4 linked regions of the Arabidopsis thaliana genome follow. The protein of the gene in region 3 interacts with the protein of the main gene of each other region in a pairwise test. Each region holds a gene or a part of one and is shown on either strand. Other genes may lie near its edges. The genes, in order: AT3G28220, AT1G16170, ERG28 and LPAT2.

Region 1 (7,979 bases), on a different chromosome or scaffold from region 3:
GTCACAAGAATCCTTGCCGACATGAAACAAATTTATTTGTATATATCTATATTCTTAGGGTTAGTTAGTCTCTGAAACAGAGTAAACCTAGCCCGATCTAAAACCTAAATCAATGGAGTCAGGAACGAAGAAGAAGAAGATAGATTACTACACAGAAGATCTCGTGGTAAATATATTAGCGAGATTACCACTAAAGAGCATCACAGCTTTCACCTTGGTTTGCAAGGAATGGAAATCAATAGTCGAATCTCAATATCTACACGAACTTTTTATGTCTCATCATCAAGACTCGCATCCTTCATGGTCACTCATGTGCAGAGAAACTCATAAAGAAGTCATTGCTCACTACAGATGCGACACTTGGGGACTTACACAATCTTTAGGCTCTTACATCTCTTCTTTCCTAACACACAAATTCGGAATCCACAAGGAAAAGGTTACTGTCGAGGCTTACACTGATGTAGGATTGATTTTGGTTAGTTTGAAACAGACCTACTATGTTGCTAATCCAATTTCACGACAATGTGACCTCCTCTTCCTCGTCTGCCTCGAAGAGCTGATATATACAAACCTTCTGGACTTGCAACACGAATAGAAAACGGCGTCGTTTTAGGTTACAAAGTTGTTCTGATGAAAGATACCACCGATACCGACGACATTAGCTTACTCATATATTCATCTGAGACAGGCCTATGGAGTTTCAACACTGTCCAATCTCCTTATCTTTTGAAGCGTGTTGCTTGGTTCAATCCTGTTAGCTTGAATGGAAACCTTTACTGGCTTTGCTACAACAACTATCGTGATCACCTTGTTGTATCCCACAATTTATATGCTACTGGTACGGAATCTGATCAATGCAGAGTTATAGAGTTCCCTCATCTAGAAAACGATGTGTATTTTAGAAGAGCTTTCACAACATCCCAAGGATCTCTTATGTATATGAAAATTATCAATGAAGAAAAAGATGATGGAAGTTTAGGGCTTAAGTTATGTGTATGGAGGTTAAAGAGTGGGAAATGGGAAATAGTATCTGAAATATCTCCGGCTTGTATCAAGAGTGGTTTAGATTACTTTCCGTTGGCAATAAACCCTTTTGATGCTAATAAAATGTATTTGTGGAGTGAGATGCATAAATGTTTAGTATCTACTAGCTTGCTCAAAGGCAAGTTTCGGCGTCACAAGAAGTTGGAATATAGTAGCGATGGTCGCATTATGAGCTTTGCTGGAGACTGGAGCCCGTTTGAACACCTCTTTAACCCATGTTTCTCCAGGTTTGCTCTCCCGCATTGGCTGCATCGGATCCCTTCCTCGCCTCCAACCGACAAGCTTCGAATGCGAATAAGATTACGGAAAAGGGCAACTTAACAAAGTAAGCAGTAATTACTCAAACTGTTATGTTTCTGATATTATTTACCTTTCTTCTCTATACATGTTTAGAATCGTTTTGGCTGAGGATTTGTAGCTTAACTTTTATGTAAATCTTGTCGTAGGGCTTAACATCAGCGGCTTATATTTTTTATTTTTATTTTGTCTACAATTTTTTTATGAGATTTTGATAACACTAGAGATTGTAGGAAGAGCAAAACTTTTTTATTAACCTAAACTTCTTTAGGATAGTTAAGGAATCTTGAATTGTCTATTTGGACGTAAAGTTAAAACCATCCAGAGTTGGAGCTCCCTTCTTTAGTTTCCTTTAGGATAATCAATAAGTGTTCTGTTTCCAAATGAATGGTTTTAGAATCAATGTGTCTTTGTGACTTGTGATGCAAGCAAAGAGCCAAAAACTGTGTGGATAGGGTTGGATTTTCCTCTTTGATTTGCTACGTACGTTTTGTCATCTCCCTTCCAAGCCTTCATCAACTAGTAGAGAGTATTTTCTTTGCTTCTTATTTATTTCCTAAAAGGAACGAGTTGTATTAGATATTGGTAATTTTGATTTGCTTATTGATGATTGTTAAAAATACAATGAAAGAAGAGTATGGATTGGTTACATAGCTTAATTTACATAGAGTATACATGGCAGATATATTATACATTATGAATTGCTTGGTAGATCTATATGTATTATATACACTACATAACCAGAGAAATAATAGAGTAACAAACAGATGAAAGAGAGCAAATAACAAAGAAGCACTCGTGAAACTTAAGAACATGATCGATGTTTATTGTTGGTGCGCAAAGCTTGTTATTATTTCAAATTACTATCATACGCGCAAACTTATTCGGTTGATTTTAGAAGTGTTATTCCACGGTTAGTGTTAGTCTTAGTCGCAGCTAGAATGAAGTAAGAACAAGAGTTTTTCAATGGTAAATTAAGACTGCTTTTATTCTTAGTTTTCATTTATTTAAATAGGAAACAAGTACAAGAAAAGCTAGCTTGGAATCAACGATTTCTACAAACTAGGGAATTGGGAAAAGTGGGAGATAGGCTCCTAAACCTTAGGAAGACCAATCCTCCAATTATTAGCACAAAAACACTTAAAAAACAGAACACAATTGGTTCCAAGCTCTCTGGTTTTGCATTATGCAAAACTTAACTTGGAAAGTATTTTGTGTTAGAGAAATCTTCAAATTCAATCTCCATCTTCAATGTATCATTCACAAGAAGACCTTTAGAAGTATCCTTAAGATCAGCAAATGGTACAAACTTCTGGAATCCCCAACTGTTTGCTTGATCCGACCAGCTTTCAACTGTCATTAAGTTAGTGTTAATTAAACTCTAAAAGAAAAAAATTAATAGAGTAAGTAACATTAGCCACACTATTATGGTTCGATATAATTTACCTTTCTTCTCCATGTGTTTAGAATCTCTCTGGTTTATAATCCGTAGCTTAGCTTTTAGGTAAATCTTGTCATACGGCTTAACATCAACCGCAACAACATATAACGACAACGAGTTACCCTGTCCTTCGCCATCGCCACTTGGATACACTTTCAAAGCCCTAAGAGTTGTATATTAAAATATTGTAAATAGTTAATTTTTTCTTGAATCAGTATTAGTAAGCCTGCGCAAATAAACCTAATCGAATGTACCGAACTAAAATCGAAACAAAATAACAGAATCGAACGGAATCAAAAATTAAAAAATAATCAAATGGATACTAAATTCTATATATAACCGAAAGAACCGAAAGAACCGAAACTAAATGGCTACGTACCAAAATATCCCGGATAACCAAAATATCTGAAATATAAATATATTTCCAAAAATATTAGTTATTTTTAAACTAAATAATTAAAAATATTAGTTATTTTTAAACTAAATAATTAAAAATATATATAAAATAGTTAAAATATTCAAAAATAATCAAAAATATCCAAAAATAACCGAAATATCCAAAAATAATTAAAATATCCGAAAATATTCAAATCAAAATAACGGAATGGATACTAAATTTAAAACCGAAAGAACCAAACCGAAATTTCAAAATAACCAAATAGATAATAACTTTAGAACCGAAAAAACCGATAACGGAATGGATAACCGAACATCCAGGACTAAGTATCAATATGTGGCTTAAAGAATTTATGACATGAGGAACTCACCAGCTTCTCCCACCGATCACGAACTTGTCAGAGACATAGTACTGTTTCTCTAGTGACGAGAAATTGGGTAACGTCCATTTGTAAAGGCGGTCATGCAAACTCTTAGTGAATGAGAACACTTCCCATTTGTTAAAAACTTCAGTGACAAATACGTCCACACCGAATAAAACATTGTCACCGTCGAAAAGCCAACCAGCATTGGGATTAGCCACGTCGGTGTAGGGTCTAACATTACCATATCCCCAATATGGTTTGAACAGAAAAAAGCGTTTTGCATCCGTCTCTGTGTACCAAGACATGCGTTTGAGATTGTGTGTTTTTAAATGCAAATTTTGGCATTTGAAACTATGCAAACTATCAGCGTCTCAATTGTTTTAAATTTAAACGTTGAAAATTTGATTAATACAATATAGTTTATAAATAAGATATAAATAGGGCGTTCGGATGTATATACCTTGATATGTTAAGTACTTGTCCTCTTTCCGGTTATAAATGAAGAATTTGACTTCTGCGTAAACTTCTTTTGGAGAGTTAAGGAGTGTTGAATTGTCTATTTGGACGTACATTGAAACGTAATTAAGTGGAGCTCCTTCCTTAATGTTTCCTTTAGGATAGACAATAAGTGTCCTGTTTGCAAAAGGATATATAGTCTTACAATCAAATGTGTCGTTGAAAATTTGTGATGCAAAGACATATGCAAAATGTAGGATAAAATACTACTTACCAGTTGTATCCACCGGATTCAAAAGGACGGGATTCGTACTTCTCGGCGTTTGGAGAAGTGGCGAATTTTATGAAAGATTCGATTTTGAGACAATAGGTAGATGGTGGGATAACTCTCCATATTTCTCTCCTATCAGATAGCTTATGGGAGGACATTGGGCTATCGATAACGGCAATGGATGATGTTGTTGTTGTTGAAGGTTGTGTTGTTACGATTTTCATGAATTGGAATGCAAAGAAACAAGAAATGAAGCAAGCCAAGCCAATTGCTCCATAGTTTGTCTTTCTCTTCTCCTCTTGAAACATGTGGTCTTCTTTTTTTATCAACCCCTTTTCAGACATGTTTGGTTAAGTGACTGAATTGGTAAGTGTGACGGTTATAATTTATAAGCAAATGACTGGAATATGTAATGGAGTTAGTTAGATATATTTATCTACACACCAAAAAGGTGAGTTAGTTATATATGTATGATGAGTACCAACATTTATTTGGTATTTAGCTTTTTTTGTTTGGTATAAAGAGTTCTTCACCACAAATATTTATAGCGGAGGATCTTTTGTGCGTTCGATAAAAGTGATAATGTTATTATGAACAAGTTATATATTCACGTGTCTTGAGATTTCACGTCGGTATAAGATGGATTGCGACCAGATAAGATTTCTTGAGTTATCGACCAGAAAAGATTTGTTCAACACGTGTTTTCAAGAAAAAGACAAAAGTTTAAGTTGTACCTAAATTTAGCATGTAACGTCAAACACTCCAGACATAGCTTTAGCTAACAACAAGAAATGGACCCAAACGCTCTACACCACAACATAGTTTTGTTCTTCTGTTCCGATCCTAGCCTCTGTTTTTGGATTTAGCTTTAGCTTTAGCTATAATGTAGAACTTCAGTAATCAATACAAAGACTAAAAACTATATTTTATTATATACGTATCAAAACTATCGATTAAATGCTTAATAATTAATTTTTAAAAAATGTTTTTATTTGTAGAAAATATTTTTTATTAATTTATAGTATAATATATAATAATATTTGAGTTTTTATTTTATAAATATCTAGAATTTATAATAAATAAATTATTAGGAATGACCTTCCAATGCTACTCATTTTTAATTCTACCCTTTCATGTAATTCATTTTCATTACTCTCTTTTAATTTTTAATAACCATATATCCTTATTTTTTTAATGTTTAAAGTTAACAAAATAAAATTGTGTTTTTCCTACCAACAATATTTCGACGATAATTTTTTCGCCAAAAATAGTTTTTTTTGTTTGTACAGACGGTAATGTTTTTACATATGATGGAGGCCAGATTCACACACTTGTGTGCATGCAAGAAAATTTTTTTAATAACATGATGGAGTCGGTGGGATTGTCTTTGTTTGGGCAAAGGATACGGTATAAGCTTCCTTTTGAGAAGTTTATAGAGCTGAACCGTTGTATACTAGAGATGATATTTTCGAGAGAATGTGTCTAGCTGCAAAGTGGACAAAAGCGGTTGTTATATTTACGGAGAAGGAATAGATTCTTGAAGAATGTAATGATGAAAAGAGCTTGTGAAAACGTCAATGGTGAGAATGCTCGAGTTTGTGATGATGGAAATGATGTTAGAGGAGGTGATGATGAGAATGACATTTTTAATGTTGGAATCCAAGCTAAAAGTCGGCCACAAAACAACTTGGTGAAGGTCTGATACGTTCATGAGAAGTTGGCACGTGTGAGAACTGAAGTGAGAGATCGGAGTCACGTGTGAAGAAACTTATAAATAGTAAGAGTCTAAGAGAGAGTAGAGAGAAAAGCATCCTTCGTGATCATATTGATGTTGTGAGTAGAATTAGGGCTTATGCATGTGCTCTGTTCTTAGGAGATAAGATTGGAGAACTGTAACTTCAAGCTTATCGATTAGGGTTTTGATTCTTTGTAATTGGATTGATAGATAAGAAATACAAAGGATTACACTTTCATTCTTATCAAGGTCCGAATCAAGTATCACAAATTTCACTTAGTGATTAATTGTGTAAAAGCTTTTGGTTTGGGAAACTTATGATGTTCAGGATGATGGTTTTAATTTGGATTATCGGATTTATGTGTAACATGATGGGATGATGGTTTTGACTATGATCTCGGCTTCAAGATATAGATTATGGTTTTTGGCTATTTGTCTTGAATTTTTAATTTGTAGGATAATGGTTTTTGTCTTGTAATTGCCTCGGGTTTGGTATGTTATATACAACATTATTATGTTATTTATTCATTACTTTTGTGGAGAAAAGAGTGATAGAGATTGCTTGGTAAGAAAATAAACAGACACAGAAATTGGTAACCGAGTTCACGGCCTCAACCGCTACGTCTCGGGGTCTCGGGGGAGATCTCTTGCTCCCAAGCTTCACTAACTTGTGATGATGTCTTTTGGTTTTACAGATTTGCACTCAAGAAGAACAAAGATTCAAGAACAACAAAGAGGAAGAAGAAAGCTTGTTTAGGAAGCTCTTTTATCTCTCTTCTCTAGAACTCTTTTTAGATTCTTTTCTCACCTACCTCCACTATACGTCGTACGTTGTAATGCATATATAGGTGACTTAAATGAGCAACAAACTTTTGCCCACATTTTGTTCTTCTTCACCTTGCCAATTTCGTTGGCCCATTAAGGCCCAATGTTTGTGTTATGTAAAACCCAAACAACAACTTTCAATTGAAACTCAAACTCAATCCAATAAAATACAATCAGAACTCTTAACTCAACAAACTCATACTAACTTTTCATACTTAAAAGATGAAAACATAGACTACAAACCATAACTAAACTACACCCGATAAAATTTTTGAAGTAACGTCGAGATTGAATCTCTTTCTTACTACAAAAGTTCATGGCTTTGAGCTCTCCAATCTCCTTCTCACATCCTTTTAAAAATGCTTTGATGACTTCAATCTCATTTCCATAGCTACTTGATATGGTCACACATGTGCGTGTCTCACCTGCTAGACTCTCCATCTCAGCTCCCACATCATATAAACCTTTCTCTAAGGATCACACATCTACTTGTGTCTTGTAAACAACACTCTCAACCTCTTCCATCTCTTCAACCATAGCTATATCGGTCCATTTGAAACAAATGTCGATTAGCGTACAGCAAAATTGAGTATTATGTTAATGATATTAATCACATATTCTCTTTTGTTCACAAATCGATTTCAGCATTACCTCATTTAAGCCATACGAACAACAATTCAATCTTTGGGTTCTTCAATGTATATGCAATCTAGATTACAGACACTGCACCACATTTACATTTTCTAAGTAGTCTTCTTACTGAGTATTGGAACCGACCCAAAAAATTGGACCCAAAACCGAATCTAAAAATTTAGAAGAAACTTCCCAATGAAGTTAATATTAATAAAAACATTCTTCTTCCTTCTCTTACGAAATATTACTCATGAAAATATTAATCTTCTTTCTTGCAAACAATGGAAAATACATGAGAACATAAAGAAGGAATTGGTTGATGCAAACTATTGTTACAAGAGAAGAAACTAAAACGATCTAACTGATGGTGAAGATTTTGATGAAACAGAGCTCCCTCTTCCACACCCTTTCTGGTTTCTTAAACTCAAAGCTTCCATAAACCTCTCGTTCCACCTCGAGCTTGTTCCCGCGGTATTAATGATCTTCTTGTTACAGACATGATCTGTCGGAAACCGG
Region 2 (6,389 bases), 2.3 Mb from region 3:
CGGGTCGTCCGGCACAACTGTTCCATTCCTGTCGAGAATCAACAGGGAAGTGGTGAACATCTCTCTTCCAGAAGGTAATAATGAACAATACGGAGTGGTTCACATCAAAGGTCCTGTGACTTCGTTAGGTTGTTCAAGTAATACTAGTCAAGTACCCCAAAAGTCGCTACCGGATTTAAACGTCACGGGCAAGGGCAGCCCATATTTCATCACCGACGAGAACCGCCTCGTGGCTGTGGGTTGCGGTACTAAGGCGTTGATGACGGATATAGAATCAGAGATCTTGGGTTGTGAATCTAGCTGCAAAGATAGCAAGAGTAGTCAAGAAGTAACAAACTTGTTATGTGACGGTTACAAATGTTGCCAGGCGAGGATACCGGTGGAACGTCCACAAGCAGTAGGTGTCAATATAGAGAGCTCAGGAGGAGATGGATGCAAGGTTGCCTTCTTGTCTAGCAAGAGGTATTCCCCGTCAAATGTTACTATACCAGAACAGTTCCATGCTGGTGGCTACGTGGTGGTAGAGCTAGGTTGGTACTTTGCTACTACGGATTCACGCTTTAGGAACCCCTTGGGTTGTATAAATCTGACATATTCGGGATCTTACTTATCCGGTGATAGTTGCCTTTGCGAGTATGGTTACTTTTCCGAAATGAGTTATAGGAACTGCTATTGCTCCCTTGGCTTCACAGGGAATCCATACCTTAGAGGAGGTTGCATTGGTAAGTGTTTGTTTCCTCTTCTTTTTTCGTTGAGAATAAATCAGATCATTAATACTGATAATTGATATATATGCAGACAATGATGATTGCAAAGGACCTAATATCTGTGAAGAAGGCACTTGTGTGAACGTGCCTGGAGGCTATAGATGCGATCCCAAGCCCAAGATAATCAAGCCGGCCAAACCCCTCGTGCTACAAGGTGAGTTCCAATGGCACCTTGCATCTACCATCCTTTAAGGTAGAGCAGAAAACAGTGTTATTTATGTTTTTTCTTGTTATTGCAGGGGTTCTTTTAGGTTTAATGGGACTATTGTTCTTAGTTGTTGGGACGCTTGGGTTGATTATATTTATAAAAAAGAGAAGGAGGATCATCAGTAGCAGGAAGTTCTTCAAACGTAATGGAGGCTTGTTGTTAAAACAACAACTAACTACTACAAATGACGGTAATGTAGACATGTCAAGGCTATTTAGCTCAGAAGAGTTGAAGAAAGCCACCGATAACTTTAGCGTGAAGAGGGTGCTTGGGAAAGGCAGTCAAGGAACTGTGTATAAGGGGATGATGGTGGATGGCAAGATCATTGCGGTTAAAAGATCAAAAGTTGTCGATGAAGATAAGCTCGAAAAGTTCATCAATGAGATCATCCTTCTTTCACAGATTAACCATAGGAATATTGTGAAACTAATAGGATGTTGCTTGGAAACAGAGGTTCCGATCTTGGTTTACGAATATATTCCCAATGGAGATATGTTCAAGCGCCTTCATGATGAATCCGACGATTATGCGATGACTTGGGAAGTGCGTCTTCGCATAGCCATAGAGATCGCGGGAGCTCTAACATACATGCACTCAGCTGCATCATTTCCAATATACCACAGAGATATCAAGACTACCAATATCCTATTGGATGAAAAATACGGAGCTAAGGTTTCTGATTTCGGAACATCAAGATCGGTAACCATTGATCAAACTCACCTGACAACAATGGTTGCAGGAACTTTTGGGTACATGGATCCAGAGTACTTCCTATCAAGCCAATATACTGACAAGAGCGATGTTTATAGTTTCGGGGTTGTCCTGGTAGAGCTCATAACTGGAGAAAAACCGTTGTCCCGAATTCGTTCTGAGGAAGGAAGGGGGTTGGCAACTCATTTCCTCGAGGCCATGAAAGAAAACAGAGTGATTGACATCATTGATATTCGGATCAAAGAAGAAAGCAAGCTTGACCAACTGATGGCAGTGGCGAAACTCGCTCGAAAGTGTCTTAGCCGGAAAGGGATTAAAAGACCAAACATGAGAGAGGCTTCACTCGAGCTGGAGAGGATCCGTTCATCACCTGAAGATTTAGAGGCCCATATTGAAAATGATGATGAAGAGGACCAAGTCATGGAGATCAGCAGAGAATGATTCTGGAAGCGTGTACAAGAATATTTCAGCCTTTATGTAATGTATATGGTGACAAGAAAATCAATAAGATCACTCGGCAGCAAGTCATCCATCTTTAGCCACAAAGTGTATTTGAAATTCGAAGTTAACATGTACTTTTGAAAATGAAGTGTGGACTTTTGGTGTGACTTGAATGTATTATTTGATGACTGGAAAAACTTACTTGTCTAGGAGTCAACGATGTGTCAGAAAATGTTTGACTTCAAGCATTATGGTTTCAGTTTCAGAGTCTCGACCTGTGTAGGTAGTAGAAGTTATATCCCGCTGCTATCATCATTCCGCTGGTAAGAATTCCCAAATATACAGAAACGCATGAGCTCTAATAAGAGCGCCTAATAGAGGCTTGACATACAACCGGAGGTGACGATCCGACTCAAAACAGTGCACATGTATACTCTCATCTCATCTGATGAAATAAAGTTATCTTTCAATTATGAATCTCTGGTTTTATTTCACCATGTAATAATACACACAAATTGCATTATAGAATAAAGAAGAAAAAGAATGTTTTAGTACAAGAACAATAAATGTGGGGGTTTCAAACTTTCACCGATAGATAAACAGTCTAGAAGAATTTAAGTTTCCCTTTGGAGAGAGCTTGAACAAGTTGTAATTGACACATTGCCTTGTCTTTCCCGGTCAAGCCATAGCAGGACGAGTGCCTAGCGCCTAAAGTGACTGCAAAGTAAAGATAAACAGTACAGAGGAAAGCCAAAAGAGCCAAAGCTGTTAAGAGATATTGATGCCTCTGAATAAGAGTCGACCAGCTACCCAACTCGTCCCACTGCTTCTTTAGACATTGTTGTCTCCTTGACGGTGAAGATACAAGCCCATCAAGAACCATGGCTTTATAATACCAATTAACCTGCAAAAATTGACACACAAGTCGTTTTAACACAATTTTACAAGAAACATAAACATGCTATGAAAAGGAGATCATCACAATCAGATTGAATGTAACATTTGGGAGATCACTTTTCCATCATAAACCATCATAAATGTCAATGAGAAACAAGAATTCGAGACACATATCGCTGTTTTGATTGGTTGTGGAAACGACATTAGTCATAATTATAATTACAAAAGAGCTTGGATCGTATACGAAAGATGAAAATGAAAGCAACAAATTGCCAACAATAACGTCATTCTCAATCAATCATCAATCACAATACACAACAACAACAACTCGCGATCGATGCACATTGGATAATCGAGGGAAACAGATCCGAAGTAGGTGAAAGATTATTAGAAAACGAACCGGTGAGAATCGGTTTAGAGATCTGGAGAAGAAAAAGCTAGATTCCAGCTCCGTCGACAACCCCCGAAATCTTCAGCAGTGTTGTTGCGATATGGAGAGAGAGAGAGAGATGGATCTCCTCCGTAGATTGATGATGGCTCGAGCTGGGCCGATTTGCCGGATACGCCGTACGCGGCTTATTATGTCCGTTACATAAAACGGGAATTTAGGGATTTTATATACAAAACAATAAAAAGATAAAAAATAGGAAAGAAGATATATAAAGAGGACAAAAAAATGATGATGCGTTGTTTGTTAGCTTCCACTCCTTTGTGTTTTGAAGATGATGGGCATGTTGTTAGAATCCGATGATGAGTGATGACATTTACCTAGGACTATGATCTGACTCTTGCAGCTTCCAGAGGGCATTTACGAATACGTATTAAGATAAACTTTTTTAATCATTAACGAGAAGACAACTCATGTTCTAGTAATCACGATAATGTTTAGTACTTTTGTATATTGTATTTGTATGACAGTATGAGGTGTTCAATATTTTGGTTTGCTTCCAACTAAACTAAAAGTCTAAAATACATTGTTTTAGTTGCACTGAAATCCTAATAGACTGAGTTGCCGTTGCCGTGAATCACTTTAGCCGGTTAGCATTTAGCATCCAAACCAAAACTATTTACCCCCAATAGCCTAGAGTTTTTTTTTTATAACTTTTTTCTTTTTCTTTGTAAGGAGACTTGCAAGGTTTTAGTAGAGGTCTATCTTAATCAAAAGCCCATGCATGATAAACAGAAGGAGAAATTAAAATAATTTGGGCCATTAGTGGGCCAAACATGAAAACTTGGTATTGATGGTTTACTAGTTCCTTTGTAAGTTGGTCAAAAGTCCGAAATCAGGAGCGAGATAATAAAGAAACAACGAGTTGTTTTACTTTTCAAGGAGAGGATAGCTCAAGGTTTTTGATCGATCGCAAGGTATTTTGATTCTCTCTTTCTCAAGCGATTTTCGTTTTCCTTCTTTTGTTCCAGAGGTCAAATTCAATCCCTAAAGCTAGGTTTCTCGGGTGAAGCTTTAGATCGGGAGCTATGATTTCATCTCGAATTTGGGGATAAATTTCAGCTTATTTTAACCAATTTCAATTGATTCCAAATAATTCTGTTTATCTCTGAGCAAAATTGATTAATTTTCGATTCGGTCTTTAAAAAGCTGCTTTTCTTACCGTCTCCATCCGAAATTAGTTTTTTTTGTTTGTTTGATGATTTGTGTTTTGATGATTTGTGTTTGCGTTTTGGTTGATACTAGCAGCTGAATATTGAATCCAACCTTTAATCTGAGAGGAGAAAGAAGATGTTTGCAGCTTCTTGTCTCGCATCGTGTTGTGCTGCTTGTGCCTGCGATGCTTGCCGTACTGTGGTTTCTGGGATCAGCAGACGTTCTGCTAGAATTGCTTACTGTGGTCTCTTTGCACTTTCCTTAATCGTTTCATGGATTCTCCGTGAAGTTGCTGCTCCTCTCATGGAGAAGCTCCCTTGTAAGTTTTTTTGTTATTATACTTCTCGTGAGATTATTTTGGTGTATGCAACTAATCATTGACATTGTGTGCAGGGATTAACCATTTTCACAAGACACCTGATCGTGAATGGTTTGAGACTGATGCTGTGTTGCGTGTCAGCTTAGGGAATTTCTTGTTTTTCTCTATTCTATCGGTTATGATGATCGGTGTGAAAAATCAGAAAGACCCTCGTGATGGTATACACCATGGTGGTTGGATGATGAAAATAATCTGTTGGTGCATTTTAGTCATCTTTATGTTCTTCCTTCCAAATGAAATCATCAGTTTCTATGGTAAGTTTCTGTTTATCATTGCAAAGTGATTAGTGAATCGATTAACTTGGAACTAATGGGAATCAATTTTACATCTTGCAGAGTCGATGTCAAAGTTTGGTGCTGGATTTTTCCTGCTTGTTCAAGTTGTACTTCTTTTGGATTTTGTTCATGGATGGAATGACACATGGGTTGGCTACGACGAGCAGTTCTGGTTAGTAAATATATTTGCAATTAAATCATGTGACTTCATTATCCCACTACTAATCTAAGTACTTGACTTTTATATATAGGTATGCTGCTTTGCTCGTTGTTTCTCTTGTATGTTACTTGGCAACATTCGTCTTCTCTGGGTTTCTCTTCCACTGGTTTACTCCATCTGGACATGATTGTGGACTCAACACCTTCTTCATTATCATGACTTTGATATTTGTATTCGTCTTTGCCATTGTAGTTTTGCATCCTACTGTAAGTTTTGACTGAAACCTTATATTTCTCTTATCTGAGATCTTATTTGATTCCCAATTTCAGGCTCACTGAAGTCAAATTAACCTATTCTTTTGCAGGTCGGTGGAAGCATTTTACCAGCATCGGTTATATCTCTGTACTGCATGTACCTCTGTTACAGTGGACTTGCAAGTGAACCCCGGGATTACGAGTGCAATGGTCTCCACAATCACTCTAAAGCTGTTTCAACAGGCACAATGACCATTGGCTTACTCACAACTGTTCTCTCGGTTGTTTATTCTGCTGTTCGTGCTGGTTCTTCCACTACTCTTCTCTCCCCTCCTGATTCTCCTCGCGCAGGTATGTTTCTGACAAAAAAAACCTTCTCCTATACTTTGCCTCCTTATATTGCAAGATAAGGATTCATTCGGAAACTCGAATCAAACCTGAACTGAAACATATATTCTAAATCCCTATATTGAAACCTTGTTGTGTGAGTGTTTGAGAGTTGCTTCTAAGTATCATAACGTATTTCCTTTCAATGAAAATTTTCAGAGAAGCCTCTGCTTCCGATAGACGGGAAAGCAGAAGAGAAGGAAGAGAAAGAGAATAAAAAACCAGTTTCATACTCATACGCATTCTTCCACATCATCTTCTCCCTTGCGAGCATGTACTCTGCAATGCTCCTAACCGGCTGGTCAAC
Region 3 (7,334 bases):
GACATTACCTCTGAGCTAAATGGGTCAGAGGAAACTACAAAAGCTTCACATCCGTTGGGATACCAAGGTTCAATCCCAGCAAAGAAGTCACCGTTCATTACAATGTTAAGATCCGCCATGAGCTTAGCCTGTACTAAATTCGGATATAATCAAATCAACAACATTAACCAGTAGATGATAAAAATTCGAAATGGGTCAACCCAAAAAAAAAAAGTCAAATTAAAAATCTCACCTTTGAATGGGAAAGAAGAGAAGAGAGAAGCGAGAGGACACAGAAAGGTGATTAGTTGAAGAAAGAGAAATCCAACAGACATCAATCAGCAACACTTCGGAGAAGAAAGGTACAAAAATCTCGTCGGTTTTTTTTTTTTTTTTTAATGATTCATGTCGTGCTTTCGACGTTGTGGTTGCTGATAAAAAAGTCAAAATTGTTGTTTGACTCTTCCAGAAGAAGAAACAAACTCATGATTCATGAAGCTTCCTTTTCTCTGGGCAAAACTTGGATCCAATCTTTGACATTAAATGGGCCGGGCCTGTCTTTTAAAGTTATTATATAAAAATAATCTTAATTATCATCATCATGTCTGAATATGCTTTTTAACTTATGCCAAATCACATTTTTGGCTCATTTAATCAAGTTAATGACTTTATATAACATGTGTTGTGTTCTAGAAAAAGCAACAGTGTCCAAATCTCAGATGTGTAAGAAAGAAAATGTCAATGGCGTTTCAACGACGACAACAAATACTTCTGTGGGGACTTTCCCTAACGACTGAAACTATTCTCTGTTTCTCTCTGACCATTTGAACTTTTGATGTTTGAAGTCTATAAAAACCTACGCGAGACCTTCGAATCTTCCCAAAGTGGCGACCTTGAATTAACACCTGCATAAAGTTTCCATTTTTCATTCTTCGTTTCGTGATCATGGAGGAAGAAGATAGCGTGATTCCTAAGAATACAGAAGGAGATGGGCGTGTTGGAAGTGATCTTGAAGGAATCCGTAAGCCAAAGAAGATGAAGAAGATGAGAAGCAGGAAGAGTGATGATAAAGAGACGAAGAAGAAGAAGAAAAAGTATTGGATGGGTTGTCTCAGAGCTGAATCAGACGAAAGTGGAAACGTCGATTTGACTGTTGATTTCCCTGGCGAACGCACTGAGCCGACTCACCTAGTCGTCATGGTCAACGGTCTCATCGGCAGGTTCTTAGTGTTTCCTATGTTATGTGCTTGATTTTGTTCTATTTTAAGCTGATTTTAAATTTTGTGTGTGGGTACAGTGCTCAGAATTGGAGATTCGCCGCTAAGCAGATGCTTAAGAAGTATCCTCAGGATCTCCTCGTTCACTGTGAGTTCTTCTTTCTCTATATTTTTTCAATTAAAACAGAGTTTCCTCCTAATGGTCTATAGTAAATTTGTGATTGGAAGTCTCAAGTGAAACAGATTGATTATTGGAAGGAAGAAAGAATCACACTTTAGATATTTTGATCTCACTTTACTGGATTTTTATAATAGTTTTTAAATAATGGCTTGTGATACTTTATAATCATTTTGCAGGCAGTAAACGCAACCATTCCACACAGACATTTGATGGTGTTGATGTTATGGGAGAAAGATTAGCTGAAGAGGTTTGTGTTTCTTATCTTTAGGCTGCTTATATTTCAGCGTTGTTTCTATCTAATGTTATATTGTCTTCCGCTTGGCTAGATGTTTTCGCAATGCTAGAACCTTTTATGTAGAAGTTTCTATCTTTGTCTCTGCTTGAGTTTTCCAGCTCAAGTGATATTCTTAATCTCTTTTGTTTAGGTTAGGTCGGTGATCAAACGTCACCCAAGTCTTCAGAAGATTTCCTTTGTAGGACATTCTTTAGGTGGCCTGATTGCTAGGTATGCTATTGGGCGTCTTTATGAGCAAGAATCCCGAGAAGAGCTTCCACATAATAGTGACGACATTGGTGATAAATGCTCGATAGAGGAACCGAAAGCAAGAATCGCTGGATTAGAGCCTGTGTATTTTATAACTTCTGCAACACCACACCTTGGTTCAAGAGGACATAAACAGGTGATTTGAAAACGGTTTTCTTACATTGAAGCTGTCAATATGTTTACAGCAAAGTTGAGATCCTTTTATGCCTCATTCTCCTGTAAGCTTGATAGTTGATACAGTTTGTGGAATTTTGCAACATGAAAAGTTACAATTTGGTTAATGGTGTGGCATTTTGACTGCATTAGGTCCCATTGTTTTCTGGATCTTACACTTTGGAGAGATTAGCTACGCGTATGTCGGGTTGTCTTGGTAAAACGGGAAAACATCTTTTTCTGGCTGATAGTGATGGTGGAAAGCCTCCATTACTCCTCCGGATGGTTAAAGATTCTAGAGATCTTAAATTCATGTGAGTTCCTTCAATGATTTTTCTATATATAGCTGATTGAGGCTTTTGCGTAGTTCAAATGATTTCTAATGTCTCCTCTGCTTTTGTGAACAGTTCTGCTTTGCAATGCTTCAAACGGCGTATTGCTTACGCGAATACAAGTTTCGACCGTATCCTTTCTTTGTTGGACGTCTTTAAACTAATTCTCTACTTCTTCACTGATCGGACAATGTGAATTGAGCTTAAAAAAAAGACTCAGAACTGTTGTGGCTATTACAATTCATTTGAAACCTTGACCTCCTTTGTTCTTAGACCTTGTTGGGTGGAGTACATCGTCTATCCGGCGTCACAATGAGCTTCCTAAGGTTAAACCTTTCACTTTCAGTGTTTAATAAGATAATGCTGTGTATGTTATGCTGAATCAAGTCTCACATATAATGATATAACCTTCGCAGCTTCAACGTGGTCCAGTCAATGAGAAGTATCCTCACATTGTGAATGTTGAAGCACCGGATACTGCAAGTAACTATGAGGAAGATCATTCAAGGACCAAAGCAGACAGGTTCAAGAACTTAGATATGGAAGGTTGGTTCAGTGGAAAACTCATTCTCGTGTTTCTTATTCTTGATTTCTAGTCATCATAATACAACAAACTTATGCAGAGGAGATGATAAGAGAATTAACAAAACTGAGCTGGGAACGAGTTGATGTTAGTTTCAGAGGAACGCTGCAAAGATTTCTCGCTCACAATACCATTCAGGCAAGTGTTCATCATTGTCGCCATCATCATCACCATTGCTACTGTTATTAAACTTCATACTCACATTTGGAAAACATTACAGGTGAAAACAAAGATGATCAATTCAGCTGGAGCAGATGTTATACAACACATGATTGACAATTTTGAGCCATAGGTGTGACTTGTGAGATAACGGAAGATGGCAAGCTCCTTCACAAGTTAAATTCACTAGGGGAAATACATTAGTCATATTATCACAATTCTGTCATCTAGTAATGTTACTATACACTATTAGTAGGTTTATCTGTTTTGTTAGCTGTTCTCAGTTACCGGGAAAATGGAAAATAGAATCATTTTGGATACAAACAAATAAAAAAGGGAACGCAAGAAATAGTTTCCCTGTTCGTTGACTATCAACCATACACTAAACTCAAATCTCTGTTTTAAAAGCAATAAACAACACTTAAAAAGAAACCATATAATCCATGAATTTATGATATTCTCATAGTTCAAGACTCCATCAAAGATGTCGTAAGATTTAGATGAAACAATGAATCAACAGCTTTAGGGATCGAGCAAAAACTCAGATGATTCCCACTTTTAGAAAAGCTTATAAGACGAGAGACTTAGAAACATAGATGTGGACTAACATCAAGAAAGTTTGGAGTGTGGTTGTTCAAGGGAATTCCACTCCAAGAGCATCCACACAATCGATGTACCTGTTATAGAGAACACATTATATAGATCATTCACAATATGAATGCAACCTACATCAACTGATTCAATACAAGAGTGAGTGATGGTCAATGCCTCAAATTATACCTGCAAAGAAGCCCACAGTTGAGAGATTCGCGATGGTCATTGTTTGGTAAAAGAGGTATTCAGTCAGAAAATGGCCTAACGCATAGATAAATGATAGAAACGTAGCCAAGTATAATGGTTTGTTTTCGAGGTTGAATGCACAAAGAAAGCAGAGAGTGCAGGTCAAGAGTGTCCATACTCCGAATGTACGTCCATGAACTTCACTCACTGCAAAACAGGTAATAAAAAGATTCAAGTAATGAGTACAGGACTCTTGTGAACCGAGAAGGCCCCATTGCCTGAGATAACCTAAGTAATAGAGACATCAACTATGTGAACTAGTTTTGTCTAGATAAATCTTTTGTGTTCCCGGTTCTCATGTAGCTTAGATGATGCAAAGTTATTAGTCCTTGTGTTATCAGAACTGATGAACAAAACATGTACAAGACCTTTTGCAATCACAGGAAGAAAAAAAACAATGTTCCATGCACCACAAGTTACAGAAAGGAAAAAAGAAACTTCAAGTTGCTTATGTTTTAATACATATACAAAATCTTATTCACTTCACCTGATCACTAATTTACTTCAACAGTACTTTAAGAAAAAACTTTACAAAGATCCCACAAAAAAAGGTTATGCATTGGAGTATGTAAACTCTTATCATTCCCACCCAATTCTCGATCCAAATACTCTTCCCTTTCCTGATATCTAGGACATGGCCGTCCACTTATTAAAAAAGTTACTTCACCAAGGAACTGTACAACATACAAGATTTGCCTATATCTTTCTTGGATACGTTGCTTCAGTTTGCTATACTTATGGTGTACTAATTCATGAGTGTTGCTTTCAATCCCAACTACCTCAACTTGACAATTAAAAGAACACATAAGAGCAAGTAGAAAGAGCATCATGAATATGTTCAACGAATCCTAATCCGGCTTTCCTTCTTAAAACCTCAAAGTTGACTACAAGATTCATAAACCATTGACTTTCCATATGCAATGTACTACTACTACTAGCAAGAATCAAGATCAAATCCAGGAAAACAAAACAATATTCTAATTCCTCACTATCTTTCTAGATCTCAAAGCTTAGGGATCCCAAATTCGATCCTTATTGGAAGACTCAAATCACAGACACAAATTGTTAAATTTCCACAAGAATGGTTCCTCTGAACCTGACATTATCATTTCTCATTGAAACAACCAATTCACGTGCCCTCCATAGATACTAACTCACAGATACTAGCTCAGAGACCAAGGAAGTCAATTGATAGAAGAAAATCTGAAGTTATCTATAGTTTCTATGTGAACATCACCCATTTAAATCGTTGGAGCTAACACACTATCAAATCAAGAACAATTTAAAATAGAGATTAAAAAGGGAGAACTGAACTGGTGGTCTGAGAGAAGACAGCGAGACGAAGAGCCCAAATGTTGAAGAAACCAAACCAAACAGAAGCTAGTCTCAGTGAACCAACCACCATTAACCAATACCCCAACGCCTTCATCTCCCTCTTCTTCCTTCGTTTACTCCTTCCTCGTTATCCAACAATACCCTAACGCATATATTTTCCGTTTTAAAACCAGAAAACTATGAGACTGACACCAAAAAAAAACGTAAACTCAGATTCGGCGGAAAGATTCCCCGATCAGAACACGTAAGCCACGGAGGTTAATTTCGTACATTTCAGTTAGTTCTCAAACCACCGGAGAAACTGTTTGATGGGCCGACAATAGTTGGAGTCTCCGCCGAATTCGATTATTATTTAATTCAGTGGGTTTCAAATGGGCTTTTCAATTGGGCTTCTGTAATATTCTGATGGACTTCTCTACAGTTACTACTGTAAAAACAAAAATATGGTTTACGTAATTTTGTGTTGCTGAGGCAAGAAGAAGACATTTCCTTCATCCTCTATAAATGAATGTCATTAAAAAACAAAAAAAGCAGAAAAAATACAGCTATCATCCACGATCCTCGTTCAGCTACTTATCTAAACAAATACTACTACTATATAAAAAAGAAATTGAATCTAAGTTGTCGTAAACGTGCACGCATATCTCTCGCCCAATCCCCAAAGAATTCTACTTTATTTTTATTTTATTGACTCGCACGCATTATTTAATTTCTTAATTTAGAAATTTTGTATTCTATATAATACAGAAGCTGCATTCTCAGAGCGAATAGAGTGGTGAGTTTACCTTTGCAGTAGAAGAAAAGGTGACTATTTGATGTCATTTTTAAATGACGGTTCCTCGAAACTTTAAAACACCTTACTAATTTCATACTGTACACAAATGTAGAAAAGTTTTGTGGCTCTAAAAAGTGTTTGTTTCCTTATTTGATCAAACTTTTGTTTCTAGGTGAATGTAGAAAAGTTAGACCGATGGCTATTAATAACCAAAGACAATTCAAGAATACTTTGTGGAAAATAACCAAGAACACTTCACTATGGTGTAAATAATGTTAGGAAGTTTATCATTCCAAAACTCATGCACATGAAGAAAATTTAAATGTTTCGTAGTGTTCATCTTTCATCACTGTTAGCAAATACATTGGAAACTAGCTACGCCAATTATGAAACGGAACTAAAAATAAAATAAATTTAACAGAAGAAAAAAGAAATCTCTTAATCTGAATAAAATGTGTGTTAAGGAAAAACCAGAAAACTATGAGACTGACACGAAAACGTGAGTTCCGCATAGAGGCGGAAAGATTCTCCCCGATCAAGGCACTAATCAGAGCCTCGAATGTACACGTAAGCATCAAGGGTAATTTCGTAAACTTCAAAGAAGTGGAGCCCTATGTTTTTGTGTGGTTGGTCACTTATCAGGTAGAGAGAGAAACCAAACAAAAGAAAATTACGTCAACCTCTCTCCGACCTGGCACTTCTTCGCCAGCCTGTTCCCAGCTGTGCTCCAATGTCTTTTAATTTTCTCTACCAGCCCTCAACTAACTCTAAATTTCGGATTTACCCTTTATCCGTACGTATTTTAAATACTCAAAACAAATTGTTTAAAAACTTTCAAATGTTTACCAAAGAAACATTATTTGCCAAAATAAGCGTCACATTCGAGCAGAGAGTTACCCAATCTACATCATTGTTACGATTACCGGATGTTTAGCCACAATTTAGGGGGCTACTTGAAATAAAAAAGAATTAGGGACAAATTTTCTCATTTAATTCTTTTTTTATGAGAGAATAATGGAATATTCATGCTCTAATAACAAACTCTTTACAACATGACTTATAGTTATAGAATGTAATTAAAAATTATTCAAATGATTTTTTCATCGGTGGATGTAGCTTAACCGTCTATATTAATGAAAAAGGGGATTAAAGAACAAAATTAAAAAGGTTTGGTACCAATATTAAAGTTGTGGTATAATAAAGGCGAATTGGACAATTTAGGAAAATACAGCAAAC
Region 4 (8,837 bases), on a different chromosome or scaffold from region 3:
GTGTTTCAGCAAGAACGGAGACAATTAGGGTTTATCAATTGATACAAGTCGGGACTTTAATCGGAGTTTGAAAACAGAGAGAAAAGCGGCGCGAGCAACCGGACTTGTGAAGGTTTTTTTTTTCTTTTGAATCGGCGTGAAAGGGTTTTAGTTTTAGGGTTGAGAAAACTAAAATAAAAATTGTGTTTATTATATTATACACTCATTAAAAAAAAAAAAATGTGTTCTATCAAAAATGGAAGAAAATAAAACCTGTTCTTTTACGATATTCTCCCTGTAATCACCGTCATACTGTAGTTGAATTTGTCTAATCTCAGTTAATTCCATGAACGGGTTTCTGTTTTTTCTTCTCAAAATGAATTTTTTTTTGTCTAATCACAATTAAGTCCCAGTAGGATTAGTCTAGTCAGATAATTTATGTACATGAATAAATTCTGTTTTTTCTTCTAAAACGTCTTGTAATAACATGTTTTGTGCCTAATAAATTCTACACTAGCAATGAGAACCAAGGAACAAAACAGTTTAATAATAAAAGGAAAATGTCTAATATCAATCCCAAATTCCAATCTAAAAATAGAAAGTTATACAAGGCCTATGCACTTGAGAAAAAAAATCCCAAGGGACTATAGGGATTAAATCGTTGATTTGATCATGACCCTATACATCAATCGACTAAGAGACATAGGCTGCGTAGTAGTAGTAGTAGTAATATAGTAGCTGAACAAAACGGAGTTGATAATATTAAGGGATTTTTCATTTGGATGTCTTTTTTTTTTGGTTTTCTGTTTCTTATAACAAAACTGACACGCGCTTCTTCTTGTTGTGTTTGATGTTTGGATCTGTGAGAACCAGTTTTTACTTCTCCTTCTCCGTTTCTGTTTGGGAGGATGATTCTGGGTGGTGATTGTCTTTTGGCTTGGCTGGGACGACTTTGGCTGGGGTCGAACGCTCTGACTGAGACGAGCGTATCAGGATCTGCATACAGAGAGTGATGATACCTAGACCAAGCGCCGATATCGTGATACCTTTCCATGAAGAAAAGAGTTGTGCCCAGTGTAGGAACTTTATTGCTCCAAGAGTTAGTACGCATGCCCATGATAGAACCACCTGAGAAAAAGATCAAGAGATTTGTGAGTTTATAGATGGAACCAAGAGAATGTTATGAATTTTATAGACTCACCGCAAGGGACTTTATGGGACGGCCAATGTTCTGTTCTTGTTGACCGGGGAAAGTGTCTGCAGCTATGTGTTTGTCTAACAGAGCATCCTGTATCACAGAGACGAGATGAGAGAATACCAAAATGAAAGCTTTTCCAAGCTTTTCTCTATCAAATCTTGACCAAATATATTATTGCCAATAACTGAAACGTGGAAATACCAGTACATCCATAATTTTTACCTTAGCCACAAACTGATCTCTGCACCACTGTGCAATTGCGTCATCTGATTCAGGTAAGTCTTTCATCGAGTGACACTTGATGTGAACATGCACCTTGAAACCAGCAGCAATGGTTTGCGTTAATGGCGCAGGAGGTTTTAAAAGAAAAAGGCTTGGGATGGGATGAGTCCTACGGTTTCTTACACATTATAAAAGTAAAGGTGATATAAAGAGTTATGTTCGTTTCAGTAAATTGGATGGTGATGTGATCCAAGCCAGTGCATACTTTGAAATTTGTTGTGAGAAGAGTGCAAGATTCAACTGCTATACGACCTATTCATATTTTTGCTTGCTTACCACTGAAGGTTGTCCTTTGAATAGTCTTAGCATCGTGGGTGGTGGAGAGGTTTTTGGAATAGTCACTGTCATATCATAAATTGCTGGGACAAATGAACGCATATTACTAACAGCTGACACGAAACCCTGAAACAAAAATACAAGCAAGTCTAGTAATTAGGGCAGAAATCACAATAACAACCACCAAGTCGATCTGATGAAAATGAAACGTATAAAGGCTACCCATGCATTGAGATTTTGGATCATCATAGCAATCATTTTGCTTTTTAAAGGACACAGAGAAGATATCAAGTTGCCCCAGGAATGAACAAAAGAAAAATATTACAACTTACTTTGGTGCGAGGAATCAACACATTTCGAGGGATAGGCAATTCAGAGGAGGCTGCATACTCTTGTGCGGCTTTAAGTTTGGCTTCTGTAAAGCGAGTTCCCTCCACAAAAAGGGCTAACCAGAAAGGTCGAGGGAAGTCGCTCAAGCGCTGAAGACCTGACTGTAAATTTAGACAAACACACATAACTCATGGTCTGGAAATGAAGATTCTGCATTTTTAGGCTAATCCCCTCATGAACGAGGTAGCTGCACGTGCTAATAAGCATTTTACACAGGAGCAAAAACTAAATGAGTTGCACAAGGATACTATAAACCCATACCTTTAGAGTGCTTTCATCCTTGGCCCAATTTCTTTCCAGAAAGAGATACTCCGAGAACCACATTGACCAGCCTATGACCTGTATGTGTGTGAAAATTCTGTTTATGAGTACTATGAATATGTAACAGATAAAAAAGGCGGAGAAGTGTATTAACCTAAAACAATGATTTTTTCTCAAACGCAAAGCCAGGTATCAAATTTCTAACTTATAGAAGAGATTCAGAAATAGAATTAAAGATTACTACTATTTTCTCTCAAATCTAGCAAGCACACAGCAGTAAGCTAAAATATTCACATACTGGAAGGAATTTGGAAGACTTCTTCATTACAGCTAATGCGCTTCCCAGGCAACCTGACCGCTGCAAGGAAAGAAAATATGAAACAATAGATTAAAAGATGTAAACAGCATAACAGGGAGCGTGTTAAGAGAAAATATGATGATGCTATACTCTCTCATATCTCATCAGATGATCACTAGGGACTGTCACCTTCTACCTAAGATAATCTTTCTTAAGTAGATACTTGGAAGCAATACATGGTCCCATTGCAAGTATACATGCTTTCTCATCAAGAAGTCTATTATGTTGATCTCCATTTATGCATTCAAACAAAAACGTAGGAAGATAGATGAAACTGTGAGGTGAAATTATGTACCTGAGCCAGAATCCATCCCACAAGCCAATCAATATCACTTCGGTGATTACAAACGACAAGAGCATGTTCTTTGCCTAGAAAAAAATAGTAGGACAGTCAATGAAGTTACAGATTCGTTCTTACATAGGAATTTTATATCTTGAAGACATCAGAAACTGATTTGATTGCCAATAAGCATATGAACTTACCCATTCGATTGAAGGTCTCATTATCAGCAAACACTTGGATCTAAGGGAAAAGAAACAAGAAATTTGAGAGGAACTCATAGAGTTAGATAAGATAAAACAAAATCCAAGCTTAACAACCATTTAGTAAAAAGGAGAAAGCTTGTGGATACCTTAACTCCAGCCCACCAGTCAACTATCCATACAAGCTCCAACCACAAGGTTTCTGCAACCACCCGGTTAATTTTTCTGTATGTGTTCTTAGACAGTGGTCGAATGAGTACATAGCAAACTGCCTGAAACAACAATATGTAGTAGTAAACATCAAAACTGAAGCAAACGAAGTTGAGAGAAAAAAAGATTCCTTCCTCGATTCAATCAACATAGAAATCAAGATAAATCTGAAGAAAGTGATACTTAATCGCAGAATCAAACAACACTCTATAGCTCAGTGCATGAGCTCCACGAGTCAATTTCGAGCTTATACTCTCATATGCACACTCAGAATTAAGACACAATCACCGACAAAAACGAAAGAATCAAAGTTTCTGGAGAAGGAAACCCTAAAAGCAGTGAATCAAAACAAAAGAAGAAAGGATCTACAATGTAGAACAACAACGGAATCTAAAAAGAGTAACACCAGAAACGAATCAGAAACCAAACCTGAAAGAGATTGACAGCGAGACCAGATATGAAGAAGAGAAGGCCCAAAGGCACGATGACAGCTGCAGCAATCACCATCCTCAAAAAATCCCACCAACAAAAGCTAATGTGAGGAGAGAGTACAAAGAAGAAAACCCAACAAATCGTTCCCCGAGATTTCCAGAAACCAATGAAGAAATATTTTACCCCAGATTTCAAGACAAGTTGCAGAAGTTTTTTAAAAGGGGAAAATAAATAACCCAACCAGAAAAAAAGAGAAAAAAAATCGCAAAATTAACTTTGCGATTTAATGGGAAAATTTTGAGAAGAGTGTTTGTAACTCTGGATTTTTATTGATTGATTGATTATATACGGAGATGATCACGAGGACACATTCGAACACGGCAGAAGCGTTTTTTCTTGTTATTTTGATTTTAGCCCCTCTATTTGTTTTCATACTTCAAAACATCTCCTATCTCTTCGACTTGGTTGGATTGGCCAACTTTGAAGTTTTGAACTATGCAATCAATGGGCAAGGAAAAAAAAAACGTCTGTCGGAAATTGATCGGTATACACTACCAAGATGTGATTACTCCTAATTTTTTAAGTTAGGATTAATTCCCTTTGCATGTGGTAAAAAGTGCTAGCTGGACTTTCCAATTAATTATAATGTTTGTATGGTAAGCTTATATATGGAAATGTAACGTCCAAATATTTCAAATCAACAGATTTATTTCAGGTGAATCCAAAAAAATTGTTACATAATTCTTAACACTCATAGACGACCACCAAAATGGTTTTACTTTTACCAATAAAATGGCCTAGTGGCGGATCTTAGAACCTTAAAGAGAATGTAATTGGAGAAAGGATTAATGTGTTACCCATACCGCTTAATATATATCCTTATTAGTCTGATATGCTACTTGTCACTAACATCGAATCCTTTGTTCATGTCTGGCCCTAGTCTGAAGGTGACTAATATACTAATATTACCGTGGATGTTTAAGTGCTCCACTTTGTTCCATATGTTTTCAATTTTTCCGTTCAATTCTTCCTCTTTTTGCTATTCTCTAGCCGATGCCTTTTGTTTTTTTGCTTGTAAATTAAAGCATGACGTCTTTGTGATTCTATTCACATGGTTTGGTATGGTTCTGATTGTTTATGTGCGGTGTAAAGTATGAGAGTCTTTCATGGTTTGTATAAATATAAACTAAATGATATTTAAGTGCACGTTTGATTCTTTAGTATTCTAATATCGAAATTTCATTTCAGTAAAGTTCAAACATTTTTTAATTTTTTTGTTATTAAATATTTGAAGTTACAAAAGTATTGTTGAAGTGGTTGATCTATCTAACCAAATTTTCTTTAAATATAATGAAGAATCAAAACAAACTAAAGAACAAGTTCATCATCTAGTTATTTTCAGCTGTACTATGCTCACCGCTTTATTCAGATTCTCCAATAAATTTTGCAGCAAAGTGGAAAAGATAACAAAAAAAACAAATAAGGGTTGTTGAGTTTTTAGTTACAATTTTCCCTACGTAAGATCATTTGCCTTAATTCACGTAACATAGCCACATGCTATCATTTCTATGTGATTGTACATATTCATAACAAATAGTTGACTGCCAGACAAAATATGTTAGAAACGTATGCATACACCTTTTTTCTTTTTACAACAATATATATGCATACACTTGACGCATCCTTAAACATATTATGATTTTTCTTTCTTTTTGTCAATGTGGACTAAATTATCCAATTTGAAAAAGAACAATGGGAATCGAACCTGAAATACTGAGGCGCCAACATTTTTACTTATAATTTTAAAAATGATTTATGTAAAACATTGCTTGTAAGTTTTAACTATAGTCTCAAAATGACACCAGAAATTATAGTTAGTAATTGCTCTGTTTTTAATTACTTTTTTCTCGGTTAGAGACTAAATCACTTATTTTGCAGATATTTTTTTGCATTGTATAACCAAACAAAAAATTTAGTTTTGTTCTAGTCTCCTAAATTGTAGCAAAGAACCAGTGGAACAATGACAAACAAAAAAAAAACAGAGAAAGCCTTAGCTTCCTAACTAGTTTTCAGGTGATGTAGAAAGAACTATGAAATTAGTCCGCAAGTCTTGTTGTGAGCTTTTTCTTGGAAGGACGACTTTGTGGGATATTCAACAACGACAGCTTGACTTTATATCTTAGCTAGTGTTCTTCGTTTTGATCAACTGAGAGTGTGTGAGGTCTTCAAGTTTTGTCATTTTATTTTTCAAAGTTAAGTGTTTCTCGATTAGTTGAGGAATAAGATATCAAGAGCTAGAGGGGGGAGATGCTGTTAGAAGATCTCATCGAACGTTGCAATGAATATAACTGAGGAGATTGCAACTGCTTTAGCTTATTTTCACACTGTTTTCCAATTCTCAAACCCTATTTCGATCTCTAAAGTGATGTCTGAATCCACTTGAGTTCCTTAAGCTACTACGATCATCTTTGGCTTGTCTTCATCTTTCTTCTCAGTGATAGTATACGCACACGCTTCCAGCGGCAATCTTTAACTAACAAAACCCATGGAAACATTGATATAACGTAAACAGGAGTCGTTTCTGCTTACATGATTCATAAACATAGCATCATGCTGATTGAGAATTCTGCAAATTATCCATCAAACTGTAGATCGCAGATGAGACACACATGACGCAGAGACAATGCCAATGCCATTTTGGCTTCAGTCTGAAACATTACCATTCAGATTTTTGCCAGAGACAAGCAAAAGTTCATATATTTACTTCACAGATTTTTACTTGTCGTATATTTTGGATGTTTTGGACTTTGAATGATAAAGAATCCTACATCATTTTAAAAACTAAACATCAAAAGTGACTAAAATTTTAAAAGTTTCACTTCTAGTTTGGCGGGTTGAGCCAGGCCCGTGCAGTAGTGCAACGCATGGGCGACTCGTGGAAGCCCAGATAGCAAGCTATCATAGCGGGCTTTCTCCCTTAAAAGATAGAGTTAATATCGTGTGAGCCGATGGCCCACATATCAGATATTAAACTGATAAGAACAGATACTACACTTGATCTTAGCCAAAAGGCCGAGAAAGGTATGATTAGAACGAATGGCTCAGCTTCTTATTTATACTACAAAGCTTATGACCAACGATCCCTAGCTTGTCGATGTGGGACTTTTAAAAAAGGGTTTAGCCAAATGTACTCTTTAGTCTTCTCTTACGCATATTTCTTCTTTAATCAATTACATATGAACTATCAATACAAAACAATGAATAAATTTGTCTTTTAATGCATCTTTGTTCTCTGTGTTCGTTGCCACTGATCACAGTCTGTGATTCACAGAACTATGTAAACCCAGAAGAAGAAAGATGGAAACTTGAGAAAGAATCTTCAAAGCAAAAACGGAGGAACTTTTTCTGCTCTGTGAATTGATGCACTGATGCTCTGACTCATATAGAATTGCGTTAAACATGGCTTCATCAATATAAGGATCCGAACTATCAATATAGTAAATCAGTTTCTCTCTTCTCTTCCAAAACGTTTATGTCTTTATACTTAAAACATAAGAGGGAGTAACGTTTCTCTGTGCTTGTCTTGAAACAGAGGAGAGTATAAGAGAGAGTAAGGGAGCTGAACAGACAAAGAGGTGAAGAATTTTCAACAACTTTTGTCTTCTTCTGCTCTAAAAGATAAACCTTTTCCAACGAAGTCTTACTCCTTAATGGTGTTTCGTTGACTTCACGTTACAACTTTTCAACACGGTGTGTGGTCTTCAACTCGTCATTCAATCTTTGGTCATTTTATCCTCAAAAGTAAAAGAAACTTTTTTTTCGTTGTTGTTTGAGATGGAGTGGTGGAAGAAGAAGAGTTTACGAGCCATAATTAAAAGGGAGAGATTGGTCCGAGGACACGAGAGAGGTGGGACATTGCTAGAAGAGATCATCAAATCTTGCAATGGCAAAGCAAATCCCATCAAAATATTCTCCGCTGATCAAATCCTAGAAGCCACCGACACTTTCAGCGAATCCAATCGTGTTTCTGAACTATTCGATGAGATTCCATACGATTGGTATTATTCAGGTAAAAACAATAACCATCATCATCATCATAAACTGTTACTCATCAAGAAATGGAGATATAGATTTAGTGAGCATAACGGAGGAAACTTTTGCCGTGACATAGCCATCTCATCGATTGTTAGTGGTCATAAAAACTTCATGCAATTGGTTGGATGTTGTCTTGAATCTGAACATCCAGTTTTGGTTTATCGTGCATCAAAGAAACCTACTAGTTTAGATCTGAAAATGGTTGTGTCATGGAGACAAAGATTGAAAATAGCAGAGGAGATTGCAACTGCTTTAGCTTATCTTCACACTGCGTTTCCAAGACCTTTCGTATATAGGATTCTGCGTTTAGAAGATATCTTATTGGATGATGAAGATGGTGTTGCTAAGTTGTGTAACTTCTCCTACTGTGTCTCTATTCCACAAGGAGAAACATTTGTGAAGCTTGGTAATGGTTGTATAGGTGGAGATTATGATTACATGGATGATAATTATTTGATTAATGGTATTGTCTCGGAGAAAACTGATGCGTTTGGATTTGGTATTTTTATGCAAAAGCTTCTGATGGGAGAAGAGAGATTTCATGAGCTTTGTTATGATCGGAGTGACTTGACAACTTTTGAAAACAGAAGAAAGTTTGCAAAATGCATTGATGAGATTGTCGATTCAAACATGTTAGAGAAAATAGGTGATGTTACAGAAGAAGAGCGTTGTCGAATGGAAGCTTTCATTGTCCTCTCGGAAAGATGCATTGGTCTTAGAGGGGAAGTTCCAAAAATGGTTGAAGTTGCCAAAGAACTAAAAAGATTCCTTAGAGATTCTTCTTCTTCTTGTGGTGAAACAAGTTTATAGATTACATATCACATACTTGTTATAGATTATATAAATGGTTTAAAAACAGATTTTCAAGGTTTA

Evidence for each region.
Region 1: the proteins of ERG28 (region 3) and AT3G28220 interact in a protein complementation assay, tested with the Arabidopsis thaliana proteins (one large-scale study listed by BioGRID).
Region 2: the proteins of ERG28 (region 3) and AT1G16170 interact in a protein complementation assay, tested with the Arabidopsis thaliana proteins (one large-scale study listed by BioGRID).
Region 4: the proteins of ERG28 (region 3) and LPAT2 interact in a protein complementation assay, tested with the Arabidopsis thaliana proteins (one large-scale study listed by BioGRID).

Annotation. Positions count from the first base shown.
Region 1 is NC_003074.8:10,521,055-10,529,033, reverse strand, and holds AT3G28220 (TRAF-like family protein), read right to left. Parts: upstream 4,854-7,979; 5' UTR 4,615-4,853; coding exon 4,274-4,614; intron 4,177-4,273; coding exon 4,004-4,176; intron 3,833-4,003; coding exon 3,550-3,832; intron 2,946-3,549; coding exon 2,788-2,945; intron 2,695-2,787; coding exon 2,537-2,694; 3' UTR 2,301-2,536; downstream 1-2,300. Other genes in the region: AT3G28223 (F-box family protein), read left to right, coding at 113-479, 557-1,365; AT3G28216 (uncharacterized protein), read left to right, coding at 5,610-5,756; PMZ (zinc finger (AN1-like) family protein), read right to left, coding at 7,811-7,979.
Region 2 is NC_003070.9:5,536,143-5,542,531, forward strand, and holds AT1G16170 (ephrin-A3 protein), read right to left. Parts: upstream 3,861-6,389; 5' UTR 3,425-3,860; intron 3,032-3,424; 5' UTR 3,011-3,031; coding exon 2,732-3,010; 3' UTR 2,524-2,731; downstream 1-2,523. Other genes in the region: WAKL5 (wall associated kinase-like 5), read left to right, coding at 1-722, 799-921, 1,007-2,127; AT1G16180 (Serinc-domain containing serine and sphingolipid biosynthesis protein), read left to right, coding at 4,763-4,946, 5,021-5,260, 5,342-5,453, 5,533-5,707, 5,806-6,046, 6,242-6,389.
Region 3 is NC_003070.9:3,272,055-3,279,388, reverse strand, and holds ERG28 (ergosterol biosynthesis protein), read right to left. Parts: upstream 5,637-7,334; 5' UTR 5,418-5,636; coding exon 5,303-5,417; intron 4,136-5,302; coding exon 3,929-4,135; intron 3,826-3,928; coding exon 3,758-3,825; 3' UTR 3,436-3,757; downstream 1-3,435. Other genes in the region: AT1G10050 (glycosyl hydrolase family 10 protein / carbohydrate-binding domain-containing protein), read right to left, coding at 1-133, 233-314; AT1G10040 (alpha/beta-Hydrolases superfamily protein), read left to right, coding at 925-1,199, 1,277-1,344, 1,554-1,624, 1,803-2,057, 2,228-2,388, 2,482-2,537, 2,680-2,732, 2,823-2,952 and 2 more.
Region 4 is NC_003074.8:21,344,858-21,353,694, reverse strand, and holds LPAT2 (lysophosphatidyl acyltransferase 2), read right to left. Parts: upstream 4,313-8,837; 5' UTR 3,945-4,312; coding exon 3,867-3,944; intron 3,500-3,866; coding exon 3,377-3,499; intron 3,268-3,376; coding exon 3,228-3,267; intron 3,114-3,227; coding exon 3,040-3,113; intron 2,745-3,039; coding exon 2,685-2,744; intron 2,465-2,684; coding exon 2,387-2,464; intron 2,227-2,386; coding exon 2,068-2,226; intron 1,862-2,067; coding exon 1,736-1,861; intron 1,493-1,735; coding exon 1,400-1,492; intron 1,268-1,399; coding exon 1,181-1,267; intron 1,108-1,180; coding exon 856-1,107; 3' UTR 502-855; downstream 1-501. Other genes in the region: AT3G57640 (Protein kinase superfamily protein), read left to right, coding at 7,704-8,774. UniProt on the Arabidopsis thaliana protein: Converts lysophosphatidic acid (LPA) into phosphatidic acid by incorporating acyl moiety at the 2 position. Has preference for C-18-CoA substrates compared to C-16-CoA substrates. Required for female but not male gametophyte development.